Oryzias latipes: one gene and its partner. The protein of the gene in region 1 binds, or shares a complex with, the protein of each later gene. Links are inferred from orthologs where the notes say so. Each region holds a gene or a part of one and is shown on either strand. Other genes may lie near its edges. The genes, in order: smc5 and nsmce2.

The links.
Region 2: smc5 (region 1) and nsmce2 share a complex: the UniProt entries of both Homo sapiens proteins name them as parts of the SMC5-SMC6 complex. The link is inferred for Oryzias latipes from reciprocal best matches to the Homo sapiens genes SMC5 and NSMCE2.

Annotation. Positions count from the first base shown.
Region 1 is NC_019865.2:11,190,713-11,194,534, forward strand, and holds part of smc5 (structural maintenance of chromosomes protein 5), read right to left. Parts: intron 264-3,822; coding exon 131-263; intron 1-130. UniProt on the Homo sapiens protein: Core component of the SMC5-SMC6 complex, a complex involved in repair of DNA double-strand breaks by homologous recombination.
Region 2 is NC_019874.2:13,952,544-13,956,393, reverse strand, and holds the end of nsmce2 (E3 SUMO-protein ligase NSE2), read right to left. Parts: intron 3,448-3,850; coding exon 3,356-3,447; intron 3,253-3,355; coding exon 3,146-3,252; intron 2,992-3,145; coding exon 2,880-2,991; 3' UTR 681-2,879; downstream 1-680. UniProt on the Homo sapiens protein: E3 SUMO-protein ligase component of the SMC5-SMC6 complex, a complex involved in DNA double-strand break repair by homologous recombination. Is not be required for the stability of the complex.

The DNA of each region.
Region 1 (3,822 bases):
AAAGTGTATAATGTCATGTGGGATTTAAAGCTTTAAAAAAAGGCGAAATTCTTTAGACTAAATCTCTAAAAAAGTCTTCATTTCAAGTTAAAATGATCCGTTTCCTGCTCCAAGGATGGCAGAAACTTACCGTTTTGATCATAGCTTTGGTTGTTTCGTTGCCCACTGGCACATCGTGCACCTTGTATTGGTGACACAGGTAACTCATCACGTCATCAGGGGCGTCAAACATCTCCCGAAGGTAAGAGAAAAAGCCGAAACGCCTGCAAATGTCAAATAATAACATCAATGTGTATTTACGAGTGAAATGAAGGTGCTGCAGTTTTTACAAACAAAAGAAAGGTCCTATGATACAGCTAGAGGCTGTTGTTGTCAAGTGAGGAAGTTACTATTGCTAACATGCCAACCTAAAGTTACATTTTAGGGCATTAGAATCTAAGACCATTTAGAAAATTGGTTTTTATCATGTTTTTAATTTTATATAAAACTGTTTAATCTCTGAAGAATACCTTGTATTCTAAATCTAAACTCAGCTTTGACTAAATAAGTATTTCAAGCTAATTTTTGGCCAGTTGATTTTTGTTCAACTAACTAAATTATCACACGGATCAATTTGTAAATTAAACACTAAGGTTTGTGTGATGTACTGAGCCTGTAAAAGATGAAGCAATTGAGCTCCAGCTGCAAATGTATGGTTTGACTGCTTTCTAAGATTTCGTGTGATCACCATGGAGGCACATACACTGATTCAAAAGACCCAAAATTGTGTTTTTAACATGTTCTTGTACGGCTGGATAGCTCCAATATTGCCAAAAGCGGCACAATCATGAAAATAGATCAACATTTCACAACAACTTTAAAATCTGCAAAAAGCTGTGGAGGATTAGAATTACCTAACTTCCACAATTACTTTCTTGCAAATAGATTACAATACATCTTAAAATGGTTAAAAATAATCCAGAAACCAACTCATGGTTAGACTTGGAACAGGCGTTATGTGGGAAGATCAACCTGTCAGATCTTCCATATATCAGCCAAATAGTTAAAAAACAGGATTGTTTATTTAGTATTAATATAAATGCCACTTTAACAGCCTGGTGGGAATTTCTCAAAATATCAAAATCATCAATTCAACCGTGCAAAATGACACCCATCTGGAACAACCCAGACATCCTCATAAACAAAAAAATTATCCATTTCCCAGCTTGGGAAGCAGGGGGCATAAAACAACTAGAGCATATAATTATTGATAGAAGATTCATAACTCCCCAGGAACTTCAAGACAAACATGGAATATATAACTTCTTGGAATATCAGCAACTTAAATCAATTATTACTAAAAAGTTTAAATACAGAGACAACGATTTAAAGCTACCAGATGTAGTTACCACTCTGATCAATTTCTCAATGAATAAAACTCTCTCCAAAATATACAAACTTTTATGTAATTTAGATAACAATATTTCACTTCCGACAACAAAATGGGATGCGGATTTGAGCATCAGCACAGATGAAAGCTTTTGGTCAGAACTTTGTCTAAACACCTTTAAAATGACAAAAAGTCCAAATCTGCAGCTAATCCATTTCAAAACTCTACACAGAATTTACTACACTGGACAGAGGATGTTCAAGATGGGTCTCAGCAACTCAGACATTTGTCAGCACTGTGAAAGTAATCTACCCGATAATTACATGCATGCACTGTGGTTCTGCACGCCTGTCCAGGCTCTCTGGCAGCAGGTATGTGCCGATTTATCAGTCTGGCTTAAGGTTTCAATCACAGCTTCACCGTCACTTTGTGTGCTTGGTGACATGAGTGCCATCGATGTTGAAGGAGGATTAGGCTCTATCATTTTCATAACTCTTTGCATTGCTAAAAAAACTATTTTAATAAATTGAAAAAGCAAGAAAAATATAAATATAAGTCAACACAGAAATCTGCTGCTTGATCATATCAGCTTGGAAAAAATGTCAGCCCAAAGTTCAAGTAACTTTGAAAGAATTCAGTCTCTCTGGTCTCCCATGGCTAACTCCATGACTTAGGGGGTGGGGGGGGCCTGGTCGTCGCTGCTCCTTGCCCTTCTGCCGTAGGCCGGGGTGGGGGTCGGGGCCTCCGGGGCCTGGCGGGGGGTGGTGGGGGCTCCGTTGGTCGGGGGGTCGGGTCCGGCGCCTGGGTGGGGCAGGCTGGGGCGCTGCGTGGTCCTCTGGGCTTGGGTGTGGGGGTGCGTGGTGGGGGGGTGGGGTGGTGGTCTGGCTTGGCTTGGGGGGTGGTCCGTTTGCCTGTGCTGGGGGGGGTTGGCGGGGGGCGCTGCTCGGGGGGGGGGCCCAGCGGCGCTGGATGGGCTTCCCATCTACACCTGGGGCTGGGATCGGCCCTTCCCTGGCTCTGGGGCGGGACGGGACAACCCTCTTGGGGCCCCCGGTCGCTCTGGGTGTCATCCGCTTCGGCTGCGGGGTCTGGGGGGGGGTGGGGTGGGGGGTCTTGTCGGCCCTGTCCTGTGGGGGGGCATTCTGGGGGAGGGATGGGGGCCACTATTGGTACGGGGCAGGGGGGGTTGACGGGTCGGGGTCTCCGCTGAGGCCATCGGCGGTTTCCCCGGCCGGTTGGCTGCCTCGGTCCCGTCGAGGCCTGACCAGAGCTCTTCTAGGGCCGGCGTTTGGGGGTGGGGGCCTGGGCTTGCTCCGGGGGGGGGCCAACGCTTTCTGGCTCCTCTCTCTCTGTGTGGGGGGGGTGGGGCCCCTGGGCTGGGTGGGCCTGGCCCCCTTGTTGGGGGCGGGGGGGGGGGGGGGGGGCGGGGGACAGCTGTTTGACCACCGGGGGACAGTCTATCAGCTGTCCCCAACTTGCCCCCTTCCTCATATAACCTCATAATAGGGTGAGGGGGTGGGGGGCTTAGCCTGCGATGAGCCTTGGGGGGGGTTTACTAGGCAGTGGCCCCCCTCCTATGGTTGCCGTATGGAGTGGGCCCCCCCTCTTTCGGTTTTATTTGCACCTTAAACATGTAGGGCCCTTGGTAGGGGGGGTGCTTGGACATCACTGCCAGCAAGCAGCAGATGTCCTCCTAGCACCCTACCCGCCAATTTTAACCGCACCTTAGACGTTTAGGGCCCCTTGGTGGGGAGGGTGAGGGGACGTCACTGTGAGTAATCAGGAGATGTGCCCTTAGTGCCCTACCCGCCAATTTTAACTGCACCCCCCTTAGTACATACACCCCTCCCCCCCTCAATATATACATCCCAACATAAACACACACACATGCACACACACACTCTCTCAAACACACATACACGCACACACATTTTGCAAGGAAGGTGGGACCTAGGACCATCTGTCCCCTGCCTCTTCCCTGGTGGGGGGTACGGGCCCCTTTGCAACGGCGGCCGTGTCCCCGGGGTGCCGGCTTCCTGGGCCCGGCGGTGCTCTCTCCGCACGGTGGGGGGGTTCACATTATATCTGAGCCGGGGGTGTTTGTGTCCCTGGGGGGTGGGTTCTGGTCCTTGCTCCTGAGTGCTGGGCCCTGCCAAATTTCCAACTGTGGCCGAGCCTGGTCGGGCCATATTTACAACACCCCTTGTGGGCCCTCTTTTTTCCCCGGGGTTCCCCCCTCCTGGGCGGGGGCGGCGGGCCCCTGCCTCGCTCCTCCCTGGACCAACCGTGGGCCGGGCGGATGGCTGCCTGGAGTGCGGAGCGGGTCTCCCTTGGGGGGGTCCTGGCTCGTACCTGGGGTTGGGGCGGGGAGATGCCCGGAACTCCTGGGTGGTGGTGGGGTGCTCGTCTGGGGCTGTGGGCGTCCTTCTCCGGTGGGGCCCTGCGTTGGGTTC
Region 2 (3,850 bases), on another chromosome or scaffold:
CGACTCACCGGGTAGTCACTTTGCGCGCAGCTTCCTCTCAGTAGTTAATACATGAGCCCAGTCAGTGCGCCGTCAGCCGCTCCACTTCCTGTGTGGTTTGGTTTATCCTGCTGTGTGTTGTATGTATGAGACACCCTGTTTGTTGCAACGAAACTCGTTCAAGATCTGACTGCTGGGAGGTGTTGTGTCTCTTAAAGCAACAGCATGCCCTGTTCAGGCGTCACTGCCAACATTTATTCCCAATGCAAGAGGGAATGTCAGTGAACCAAAATTCCAGCTGTTCTGCTCAAAAATGAGAAAATAAAGTTTTATGTAGGTTTCACAATTTAACCCAATATTGAGTAAATTCAACATAATGATTAATGAATGCAACGCAATAATGTTGAGTAAATCCAAAATAAAGATTTATAAAATTAACGTAATAATGTTAAGTAAATTCAACATAATGATTAAGAAACTCAACGCAAGAATGTTGAGTGCATTATACTTAATAGCACAATGTAAACTTACTATAACTGTGTACTGTGGAATTTATTCAAGATAGTTTGTTAAATTTCAGTCATCCACTCTTTCTCAAATTTAAACAAAATAGTTTTGTAGGACCGGCTGACGAAACTTTTTTATTTTAATCTAATGTTTCATTTCTTTGAGCGCAGATTCACTCCTTTTTTTTTTTTTAAAGAGAATAAGTGAATTGTTTAGCAATTCCAAAAACCTCCAGCATCTTCAAAGATTTTAAAATCACTAAATGATTAGAGTTTTCCTGGATTAGTGGGAAATGGAAAACCTTACTGGAAATTTTCCTCACCAACATGTGGATGGATATGTGGCTGGTGGTGGTGATGTCATGGTGTGGGGGTTATTTTCTTGGCACACTTTGGACCCCTTACTACCACTTCACAGCCTACCTGAGAATTGTTACTGACCATGTCCATCCCTTTATGACCGCCATCTTCTGATGGCTACCTCCAGCAGGATAAACTTGAGTTCACTGGACTCAAACGGCCTCCACAGTCACAAGATCTCAACCCAACCCAATAGATCCCCTTTGGGATATGGAACGAGAGATTGACATCATGGATGTGCAGCCGACAAATCTGCAGCAACTGTGATGCTGTCGTCAGTTTGGACCTAACTCTCTGAGGGATGTTTCCAGGACCTTGTTGAATCTATGCCACCAAGGATTAAGGCAGTTCTGAAGGAAAAAGGGGGTCCGGCTTGGTACGAGGTGAACCTAATAGAGCAGCCGATGAGTTAGTATCCTACATCCCTCATTGTAAACAAAGACAGGGACCTCCTGATTGATCTGCTCTCAGCTCAAAGCAGCATCAGGTTGCCAAATACCATATTCATGTTTTGGAGAAACGTCTGATTTTTTCGACACAATGATTTTTAATAAATACTTCTCATATTAATGAATGCAAAACCACATTCCATATGGAGCACAAACCTGCTGAACAGTGTAGGGTTGGGATGCAAAACCAGCCTGCCTGCAGTCCAGATCTGACTATACATCAAAGTATGTCACACACTCTCATGCATACAAAAGTGGTGAAACGTATTTATTAAGTCACATTTCAAATAAATGTTGTAAGATACAACTTTTTACACATCTTCATAAAGTTTCCCATCATCTTTTTTAATTCTGTTTTTAAGATTTACCATAGCAGCCCTGCACGGCTTAAAAAATATACAGATTGAAAAGCTCATGCATCACTTGGAGTGTTTTCTGCTGCCAGACCTTAATAGTTTTGTTCACCTTAGAGAAGGTCATAAAGCCCAGAATATTATTTTCCTTGAACGATCTGCGTCAACACCCCAAAAAAAAACAAGTCGCTTTTTATGATTACTTCCAAACCTATGAGTTTGAAGCAAAAAACAAAAAAAAGTATAGATTAAACTTCAATTTTGACGTTCTTATCTGCTGCTCTCCGCTCATTTATCTAAAGCTCCGGCACAGCCGAGACACCGCTGCCAAGACATGATCGTTTGTTTGCTTCCAGGCAGCCAAAGGTAAAATCCTCCTTGGATGAGCCAGACATCCAGACTTACAGGCAGCTTTCACGCCTTAAAGCTTTAGAGGAGATAAGTGCTAATTTGAGGTCAAACGTGGGCAATCGCACTCAATAATTTGATTTCATTTTCAAACACATTAATGAACCAGCTGGAAAAAAAAGCCTCTCTTCCATGAGTGACTAAATCACAGGTGAGATTTTGCAGTTATTTAATTAACTGTGACGCATGTTGTGTGGCAAACACAATAAGATTTGCAGAATGGTAATTAAAATCGAGCAGAGGGGTAGTGGGTCGACAATAGCAGGAGAATTTGTTCCCTGTTAATTTCTTAATTTGTAAAAGGTTCTTGCTTTTTAAACGCCTGATGCAAGATTATTAAAAGATTAGCTTCAACACTGCCTTCGTTTGTGTTTTTCTGTGAAATAATGACCCTTCATAAGCAGCGTGAATAAGCAAAGCGAGGTTTAAACACATAAGAGCATTTCCACAGAGGTGAAAGAACAGACTGTTTGTCACCTTGGAAGTTTCAGGATAATCTTTACATCAAAAAAAATATTTTTCTGCAAAACTGGAGGATGGAACTCTCAATTGTTTCATTTTTTTTTTTACTGTATTTACTAATTACAGTATCTTCACCTGACACTAATTTAAAATAGTAGAAAAAGCCCCTAAACGGCTTTGTGGAAACGCTGCCCTCTTGTGGTGTAGCCACATTATTGCATCACCAAAATATCAAACATGATAAAAAAAAAAGACAAAAGGTTCCAAAAATTCAGATTTAATGAACAAATATTTGCACAAAAATAGAACATTTGCACCCCAAAAAATAAAACATGGACAGATAGGTTATCAGTAAAGCAGTGCTAATTTTTGCTGTTTTTCTTCTTTTGGTTCTGAATCCTTCTTCTCAGTATCTGATCAAGAATGAGGTCTGACTCTTTCACATCTGCGTTTTCACAGCCCACCACAGGACATCTAAATGAAATGGAACAAAGCACAAATATCAGTTTCTTCTTTGGAACACTTAAATCCCTCCAACACAAACTTTGTAATCGAGAACATCACCATATCCTCAAAATGGAACTAGATTTATAAAGTTTCATTAGCTCAAAAGACTAGGGTTTCGTACCGGCACTTCTTCTTCAAGTTGCGTCTTGTTTTGATCAGGTCCAAGATGGCAGATTCATCATAGTAGTGGTTGCACTTTTTATTTTTGACTGGTTTTAACATTTCCACCTTAAAAAAAAAAAAAAAAAAAAAAAAAAAGCTTAACGTTAAAAGTTAAACAGGTGTGTCAGAAAATAGGTGGTGGTGGGGGGGGGGGGGGTCAGCGATGTACCTGTGTGAGCGGGCAGGTGAAATTGACCTGGCTCTGTGTGACGGCGATGTCCTCATCAAACTCCTCCGTGTTCTCTGCTGATTTCTGATTGGCTAAGAACACAAGCATCTCATTTGTAAACCTTCATTTGTTGCACAAAACCCTTAAAAAGTCGGCAGGAAAATACGCAGGTAAATGCCAGAATGTAGCTAAAGAGCAACATATTTTGCTTTCCAAATAAATAAACCCTCCATCCACAAAATCTTACATTTAAAAGTGTGCAACAGAGACATTCAAGACATCCACCTACACATAAATCTTTTTTTTTTTTTTCATTTTATAGATCATTTTCACAACAAATTCGGCTTCATTGTGGCCTGTAAATGCTGCCGGCTGAAATTATCTTCAAGGATTATGCAAATGAATGCAAATTATTGCTATTTTTAAACATTTATTTCAATATGCAACCTTTATTGATGTCTTCAGAAAAATAGACACAAACATTAGCCGCGGTTA